Drosophila melanogaster: one gene and its partner. The protein of the gene in region 2 interacts with the protein of the main gene of each other region in a pairwise test. Each region holds a gene or a part of one and is shown on either strand. Other genes may lie near its edges.

Evidence for each region. The genes of interacting proteins can lie anywhere in the genome.
Region 1: the proteins of CG2267 (region 2) and Dlc90F interact in a two-hybrid assay, tested with the Drosophila melanogaster proteins (2 studies listed by BioGRID).

Annotation. Positions count from the first base shown.
Region 1 is NT_033777.3:18,296,725-18,300,544, reverse strand, and holds Dlc90F (dynein light chain 90F), read right to left. Parts: upstream 1,317-3,820; 5' UTR 1,124-1,316; coding exon 788-1,123; 3' UTR 501-787; downstream 1-500. Other genes in the region: Polr1E (RNA polymerase I subunit E), read left to right, coding at 1-172. UniProt on the Drosophila melanogaster protein: Acts as one of several non-catalytic accessory components of the cytoplasmic dynein complex that are thought to be involved in linking dynein to cargos and to adapter proteins that regulate dynein function.
Region 2 is NT_033777.3:30,625,735-30,631,559, reverse strand, and holds CG2267 (uncharacterized protein), read left to right. Parts: upstream 1-2,531; 5' UTR 2,532-2,728; coding exon 2,729-2,839; intron 2,840-2,893; coding exon 2,894-3,955; 3' UTR 3,956-4,319; downstream 4,320-5,825.

The DNA.
Region 1 (3,820 bases), about 12 Mb from region 2:
AGTGGACATCAATGTCCTCTCCCGTGCTTTGGCCACCACCAAGGCTCGGATCAAGCAGTACGCCCACATTGTGAACGCTCTGCCAAAATCCAATTCGGACATCCTTAGCCTGCGCCTGCCCAGCAAGGTTCCGGCTCTAAAGTCGGGCCGTCGCTTCCAGCGCAAGAAGTAGGAGTATCTTCAAGGACACCGCGCCCGCCATCGATTTAACAAACCCTGGCGCGCCAATTACATTTATTGCATCCAGGTACTTCTGATTTTGTTATTTTGGGCAATGCCAGAAGGAATATTATTATTCTAAACGATAGAAGGTTTTGATAAACTAAAATAAATAAAGAAATAAGAGAAAGACCATTAAAGTTTAATTTTAACAAATGCCTGGGAATTTAAATCGATTTTAGACCAATGGCCAATTGCTGCCATGGAAACGAAAAATATTCCCACGACCCAAAAAATGATGACCCATTGAAAACAGTTTGCAATGATTAACTTATTATGCTACGGTATTATACACTTTTTATTTACGTTTTTAGATTGAAAATCAAGAATAACATTAGGCGAGTACACTGGCAACGGAATAGTTGCTTGCTAATTGCTTGGAAGTGACGACAAGGTTTTCAAGTGCTCCATAATAAATTTTGTTATTACAGCAGGATGGATGGCCGATCAAAAAAGTATGGTATTTGTGTTGTTGGTGTGTGCTGGTGTACGACGGCAATCTTGTTAGTCCCTCCCCCTTTTAAGTCATCTTCATCGCGAATTCCGGCAGTCCTGCCATTCCTCCACTCTAGACGGCCAGTCCGAAGACCGAAACGATGCAGTACATGGTCTTGTTCTCCCAGCGTACTGTGCACGATCCGTCGGTGTCGTTGTTCCAGTAGCAGGAGCTGGCGGTGTGGAGTCCAGCACCGTTCTTTTGCATGATCATGGCGGTCACAATGTACTTGTAGGGCTTCTGCTCCTTGGTGAGCACCGTCAGGCAGTTCTCCACCACCTGGCCGGTCCAGTTGTTCACCTTGTCGTGCTGGTAGGCGTTACCGCCGATGGTCGTCTCGATGGCCTCTTTAATCGTCTTGCTCACGTCGTCCACAATGAACTGGCTTTCTTCGCGTGAGTCATCCATCGTCGCAGCTTTGATTTGCTTCTAACGGCAGCTGGTCAAAAAAGTTTACGTACTGAGCTCAAGTTTGTATTGTTGTCGTTGTAAATGTGCGCGCGTTTTTGGGCTCGTCGGCGGCGTTCGAGCAGTCCAAATAATATATATCGGGATTCTATTTTTCTAAGGGATGCGGAAAGCAAAGTTTGCTTTTAATTTGGAAGTATTTTCTTGGGCACCTTGATCTGGTCAGACTGTGTTGCAATTTAACCGGAGAAACGGTTACATCGTGGGTCATTTCAGCATCTTCACACTAGAGATTTCAAGAGAAGAAACAGTTGTCTTTTATTAAAAACAAAGGTTTCGCTATCAACATTTTCCAAAGCAATTAGTCAAGGAGAGTATAATTAGATTAAGTACTTTCAAAAGGAACCAAACAAGTTAAAACCTATTATAACCATGATGCCAGTGGAAACACATCTAAGCATTTAAATTAATCGATAGAAAACAGTGCTGAAAACCGCGGGAAAATTAAACTTTTAATCGCTGGATTATTTCGACTGCAAGCCACGGTCACTCTGGCAGAATCAACATAACGGACGCGTTCGCGGCGCAATAAAAACGAAAAATAATTAAATTATTCCATAACTCTTCTGCGACACCATTGAAAAACATCGACGCATATCAAGGCCGACAAATATCGCTATTAAATGCACAGCTGAAAGCGATTCGTGCAGCACGTCGTTGAATTGAATTAAATTCGTTATGGGAAAGTGCCTTGGTGTGTGTGTGCGTGCGTATAATTAAGCAAAAGTATTTAGCAAATCGAAGGCGCACATTTCGCAATACACGCTGCGAAATAATCGGGTGATAATTGTCGCAGCTGCAGGCGCACTTCCTTCTCCATCTCCTGCTTTCTTCGTTTTTGTCTCTGCGGATACGTGCTACTACTTTTGCAGCTGCTGTTCAGCTATTTAGCGCGTGTGTGTGAGTGCGCTCCGCGGCTGCTGCTGTTGTTGTTTTTGTTGGCTCACCTCTCGTTAACCACCTTGAATGCGAGTGAACGAGCGAGAGGGGGTGAGAAGAGTGCAAAGTTGATGCCCGCGAGTGTGCGCTTGTCTCTCTGTGTGTGTATGACAACAAATTGAGTGCGACTGTGTGCGTGCGGCATTAGTCACTCTCTTTAACTTTTAACTGTTTTGGTCCACCCTCTGCGAACCAAAAAGGCAAAGACAAAAAAAAACCACTAAACCAACTTTGCGGATCGGTTTTTTTTTTTTGAATCGAAACGAATCGGATCGGAACGAATCGGAAATCACCAAAAGGTTAGTTACCCGCAATTGATATTTAACCACAACATCACCCTGACAACTGCTTGCTTTTGCAAACATACATACATATGTAACATCACTCCACCATTCTCATCAAAGTTTTGCTCAAGCTACTTACTTAATTGAAATTCCAGTCAAGGTCGCATTTGTTAATTAATTAAATGTTTGCCCGGCTGACTGCAAGTATAAGGCAAAAGGGGAAACTTGGCGACTGCACAATAGTTATTGTACAATTCAAAAAGTATTGCATAAACCGATATGCTACGTTTGTTCCGACTGTTTACTCAAGCCTCAAGCGATAAGCGGGGAGTACAGTGACATTTATGGATGGGATGGGAAACCCATTTTCTGTTTTGACTGCATAATCGCCAGCACACGAAAAACACTGTCATTGCATTTAACGAATAACTGGAATTATTAGAGAACAGCTGCCTACATAAATACCGCTTCAAATGGTCACCATTGGTCACTAAATACACTTTTTTTACGAGTCATACATTTGCAGTTTTTCTCTCTGTGTAACTCTGCACGAAGCTTCTTCTTTACCCATTAATAAAATAGAAAACCGAAGGAGTTTCGTTTTCGTTTTGTCACTTTCGGACGCAGCAGGTGGTGCATTTGCGCGCTTACCTCACTTTCCAGCTGACTGACTTTCGGGCGATCCTCACATGGTAGCCATAACCATATAACATATGCTATTCCAGCACCCTTTTTCTCTACGCCAGTGCCCAGTGATAAAAACCCTTCGCAGAGCAATCTTCATATGACAAAAACAGGAAATGTATATCACGCAATGTATATATACATATATATATATATATATTACACAATCTTTTAGAGAAGTGCAATCTTATGAAATGCCAAGCAATAAAGCGGTTTAATATGCTTACTTAAATCGTATACACCGTTTCGTTATGATAACGGCAGATGATATCAAAAAGTATCAGAATATTAAATATTATTATACGCCCAAGGGTATCATTTATACGACTGAATCTGATGCTACACGCAAATGGCACAAAAGATCCTCTTTATAGGCTTTTCAAAGTGCATTGTTTTTTAACTACTGAAATGGGCGGCAAGTGTTTTGCTTTTGCACTCAGTACTCGGATACACATTGGAGTGCACAGAAATGTGGGCGTGTTCGAAAGTACTGATGTAAGCTTTCAGCTCTGATTGTGTTCAACTTTGACCCACATTCGCCAAGTGTCCCGCCATGAAACGCACGAGTGGATTGCAGGGGTAGGAGATGGAGGAGCATTCAGTGATGAATTTCATCTGCTGCTCCCCATATATTTTACATGCAAACGTGCAATTTTCAGACCGCATTGTTTGTCTAGAATTTGTGGGTTTAGCACAAAACTACATTGTATATGCAGTATGTCTATCAATA
Region 2 (5,825 bases):
GCTGAAATGTCAATCCAAAGTAGAAGAAGTCACCTTGAGGAGAGGCTCATTAGGATTCCGTTTCTGGCGGCGAAGTTATCTGCGCTTGTTTACCTTGAAATTAAAAATGCAAAGATTCCTTCCAAGGATATTTCCCTCCGGCATCTGCAGCAGCGGGCCAGCTGAATTATTTATGGCACTTGCCGTTAGTCGAACAGAAACAGATTACAAGATTAAATTATTGTAACAAGAGCATTACGCAACTACTTTGCATAATTTACCGCAGAAAAGAAGGACGAACGGCGAAAGGCGCAGAAATAAAAACATTCATCTTGGCCCTAAGTCGGCACTTCTTGGCTTGTGTTAAAATATGTATACAATAGGTGGAGCTCCCTCTACTCGCCCCTTTGAACCCGCTTTTCGTAGGTGACTATCCCACGAGGTCCCACGAGGCGTATACGTAACTTGCAGTGTTTACAACAATTTGTCACTTTTGCCAAAGACGCCAGGACGCCAGGAGGAAAAGCAAGGACCGCAAAAGGGGATCGCAGACTGCAGGCCAGACTCCTCGGCAGGAATGCCTAATTTGCATTTTAATTTAATTTTTTCCATACCGCGAAATGTCAACAGACAGGAGACTCGACTTGAGTCACTCGCAGACATTTTCCTCCCCTCCAAGGAGTTTTCCTCCGCCAGTGTTTGTCTTTCTCGCTTTTTCTTGGCGCACTTTTAATTGCGCCCTGCATATGCATGAACCCAGTGGCAACTCAATTAAAGCCAAGCCTTTGAACTTCAGCCAGCGACTCTTGAACTTTCCTTCGAAATCAGCGAAAATCAATGCTCAACTAGCATCGATTGTTAGTAGACCGACCACAAAATGGGGATATAACGTAAAGAGTATGCTTGCAATCCGATATCACCCCTTTCCACTAGGGTTGTAAATCTAGCGGAAATTGTCAGGGCCAGCCAATCGTGCAACCGTTATTACCTGTTGACCTCCTTCCTTCGGACTCACTGCGTCCTGGCCACTTCGCTGAATTGCATTCCGCTTCCGTCTGGGTCACGGCTCATAATTCTTTAAATTTATGAAGTGTAACCGGATCGGAGTCTGGCTCTCTTTCAACAAAGTGCGGAATGGGATTTGGTCACAGGTTTCCAATGGGGTTAAGCTTTGCATAACAAACTTCAGTTTTGCACTGTAGGCAGTAACACTGATTTAGCGAATAAAAATTAGCATTGTTTCTACAAAAACAAAAAAAAAAGTAGTAGACGCAATATGGAATGGCATACCTCGCTGAAATCGTTACAAAATTTCCAATCGAATGGCATTCAAGCCTAGAAAAGTCAAAATTTTGCCATTTTTCCCAATTTTGATGATGGTACCCCTTAAAAAAAATGCGAAAAATTTGAAAAATATGAATTTTCCCATACCGACTAAAAATTGTTATGGCTAACAAGTTATGATAATTAGCTGCACAAAACAGTAGTTATTTTAGCTGTGCGACCAATTTAGAGCAAGCAAAGTCATTTTACATTGGTATTCCTCTCCCAGCCCAGCCCCCGAACCCCCTTCATCGAACCACCCACCCACCTTTCCTTTATTTCCAACCTCATCGCCATCTAGATCTCATCTTGTGTCACGTGACGACACTCACCTAATTTGAGAGCAGCTCTTAATCTGCACAATGAGATAAATACCTTTTGTGGTGCAGGCGGTTAGCCGCAGAGTGCCCCGCCTTAACCCACTTGTGCCCACGCCGTGTTCTCGTAATCCGTGGGCTGTTACCGTTACCGAGGCACTTGGCACGCTCCCGAATTGCCACTTGAGGCAAATTGCCTTGGAGCAAAACTTTCGAGACTTTGGCACGAACGGAACGACTCGGCGTTTATTACCTGTCGCTGGGAGCCAAGCGTTTACTTTCCTCCCCAAAAGGTCGCTTATCTGGAGCTGTTAATGTATTAATTTGAATTCTTTATGGGGAGCGGAGCTGCATATATTCCGGCCGGTCCGAAATATGTTTGACATGGCAAATTTAGTGGAAAATTGCCGCATGTCGCAAGTATGCAAGTGAAAATGCTACGTGACTCCGTTGCAAATAAAAAGTCAACCAGCCACTGGGGGAGACAAATTGGCCAGCTTCTGCAGCTTCGGTCTGAAATTTAAAAAACAAATCACACCTACAAGCGCCCAAGACAAATTTCCAGACGGTCCCACACACACGTATGTATGTACAGTGAGAGGACGAATGTCCTGCCGGTAATGGAGTGGACTTTATTTGGGCTCCTTGTTTGCCAGCTCCACGCTCGACTGCCCGTACCTTTTGTGGCACGCTCCGGCGACGAGCGGCGCATTTGTCAGACTCTTCGTCCGGATTGGGAGGCAAAAGTGCGGATGGGCAGTGCATGTGGTATGCACTCGGAGAAAACGGCACCAGCGGATTTAGAATTTTAAATCGAAGAATTTCATTTCAAGCTAGATATTTGTATGACAACAGAAACCTATCGATTCCCTGTGCGTGTAGAGTATTTTCCCCAGTGTAGTCTACCGACAGTGGTGTGTACGCTAGTACTCCTAGCAAACACACTCATTCTACAAATGTCAACCGTTGTTGGTTTAACTCACATGCCTTTCCAATTCCATTCCATTCCTTTAACCTACACATCACACAACAAATAAATTCCTGAACATAAAGATCATTTTTGATACCTGAAATTTCCACACGAAATTTCTACACGAAATTTTCTGAACATGGCCGGAGAAACAGAGCAGCTAACGTTGCTTAGTGAACTGAACAATATTGGAGGTGGCGAGTTCGAGTCGGGATACTGCCTGAATGAGAAACCTATTCTGCCGCCAGTGGTTGGTGATTATCTTTTGAGATAGCATATGAACTGTATTATATATCCCTAATAGATGACTGACTGGAAGAGACTGGAAATGATGCGACTGCGCTTGTGCGCCTTAACCAAGGAGGTGGTCCAGAAGAGGAACCAGATTACAAATCCTGAACGGAGGGATGCATCTACCAATACAAAATCGCAACAAGGATTTGGTTGTCCGGTCATAATGGGACGCTTCCGCCAGAGATTACAGCAATCGGAGACAATGATCTATGATCACACAGCCGAGATGACCATGCAGATTTCTGCTCCGCCTAGCATGCCAATTGGGATGACTTCTCAGCTGGTAATGGAGGATGCTTCTCTGACTCCGCCGCAAAGAGTTGTTGTCACGCTGACACCCGTGAAGTTGGCCACAGCAGAGAGTGTTTGGGTGACCAAGTTGGATCCACCGAAGGCGGAGAAACCCAAGCCAACGGAGAATGTCCTGGAACCACTTCATCGGAGCTCTACCAGTCCTGATCTTTCGAAGCTTCATCACCAACTGTGGCGAAGAGATCTGATGCAGATTCCCAAGTCACAGTTTACTTTGCCTATAAAATGTGAGCCACAAAGTGTACAAGGTATCGAGCAGCAGCAACCCAATAAGCTTACGACAATCAGGAGTCCCAGTCGAATCCCGAAACTGATTACCAGCCATGTGGCCAACAGTGCCAGTGTCACCAAAACCCAGAGTGCCTACCAGGCCCGACGCACCTATGACGCCAAAGTGGCTGCCAAGCGAAAAATTCTGGTGAGCAGGGGCCAGATTTCCTCAGTCAAACAGAAACCTCTGCCTGATACCAGCCACTTGAATGTGCCGAAAAGCATCAGGACTCCAGTGCCGGTCTATAAAAGACCAGGATATGTGCAGGACGAAGAGCAAATTCAAAAGAATCGCTTCAAGTCCTTGATTCTTCGCCAGGCGGAGGAAAACAGGCGTATCCAAGACAAAATGCAACAGGAGCACCAGGGTCTCATCGCTACCATGATGAACGATCTCAACAACGCCGTCGAGATCTCGAACGATTATAAGTCCTTGGAGAAGGCATTGCACCTGGACTCCAGCACCTCCAGCGATCCCAGCCAGAACTGATCAGACAATACAGAGATGCGCTTTCAAAATTGTTAAACGTTCACCCGGGAACGGAATAGGACGATAGCAGTGAATAAGAGGAACGGACGGCAAAACATAATACCCAATAATCCGCCACGAATTTTCCATTCGGTGGCCTCTTTAATTGGAATTGAAAATTCTTGATTGGAACATTTTGAATTGAAGCAGCAATCAAATCGACTTTTCAACTCGCGCAAGAACTGTATTTTCCCGTGGGGGTGCGACAAATCAGTTTGTATTGCAGTGTATATATTCAGAGGATTATCCAAAGTCCATAATGTTCTCCGCCTTTTCAATTTCAGCACTGTGTTGGAAAAAATTGTAATAATTATCTATTATCTGTATAGTTTCGTGTGTTATTTAATGGTCATCAAAGCGGCGTAATTTTATATAAGCTATTTAAATCGCATGTTCCAGTTTGGCATTGGCGAATTTTCCGAACGTGAGACGACAATCCGACTTGTGGCATAATCCGCGAGTCGGTCGGGCACCAAAAATATACAGCGTCTCTAATTGCGCCCAACGTCTGCGGTTGATGCCACACAAGTTGCACCGCAGTTTGTCCCACTCCCGGAGGTTTGGCCACCTGCCCGCGCTCGTCTCACATTGATGTCTCTATATGAAAGTCAGTCCCCCTGAGCCATTTCCCATTTTCCTGGCGAATTCGCTTGGCCCGTTTCACTTGGCGCGCCCATAACTCGGCGTGTTATTAAGTGTAAAAATTAAAATTTCATAAATTGTTATGCTTTATTTAGAGTGCGCCGAGCAGTTCCTCCGGCTCCCCAACTGCCAAGTTTCCTGTTCCACTGCAATGGCAATGTGTGTGGTTCTGTGTGATTTGCGCGCTTCGGAAGCTGGCGATATTGAGACTTAAGTGGACATAATTAAAAGCACTTAAGAGTCGCCACAGATACAGATCGCACCGACTGAGATATAGACGTGGTCCATGAGGATGAGTGAGGGCAGAATGGCGAAAATCGCATTGGATGACGGCCAAATTTGTCAGATAGTGGAAAGATCGCAGACGGTGTCTAGATTAGTGGCCATATTAAAGAGCTTTGTCTTTCCTTTCGTACCCTTCAAATCTCAAGCGAATCAAAGATGATCGAAGTATAGGTGCGTATGTTCTACGTGTGCTAATAAGTCTAAGAAGTAAATTCAAACCCACCTCATTAAACTCGAAAATGAATAAGTAATGAGGTACGATGTTTGCCATACCAGCGCATTATCCATAGGCAAATGAAGTTGGAAATAGTTGCCTAATCTCTTGTTTTTTCACTTGGCTAATCACATGAAGTGAGGAAAACTTGCACACGAGCACACAAAAATGCCATGGAAATCATTTCGCGCTTTCACTTGGTGGCATGGGTTTATTAAATGAAGTGCACATGAAACGGGCATTTGGATTTCATGACTAGAATAAACATAATCAAAGTAATAACTCGAGCAGCTATTCTCCGCCTCTGGAAAAGTCCTCGCCACCCCTGGAAAACATGTGAAATTAATCTTGTTTATGTTTGTGCAAGAGGAGAGAAGCAAGAAAGTTTTCTCTAAAAGTTTTCGGTTGCCTTTTTGCGCAAGTTTTATTTTCCAAGCGAGAGGGTGGGTTAGAAGCGAGCAAAAGTTTTCAGTTTCGAGTGAAAATAAATAAAATCGAATGATTTCACTTTTGTTCAAGGCACGTAAATAGTTTTGCCTGCCACAGAGATAACCATTCAAGTGCAAATGCGAAATTTAATTAAAATATTTCCAAATCGTTTAAATCGCTATGTTTCCATGGTTGAATCACTAGCTAAAGGTGTTTAAATTCTTCAAAATCCACTTTAAACTTCATGGCACATTTAGAGCT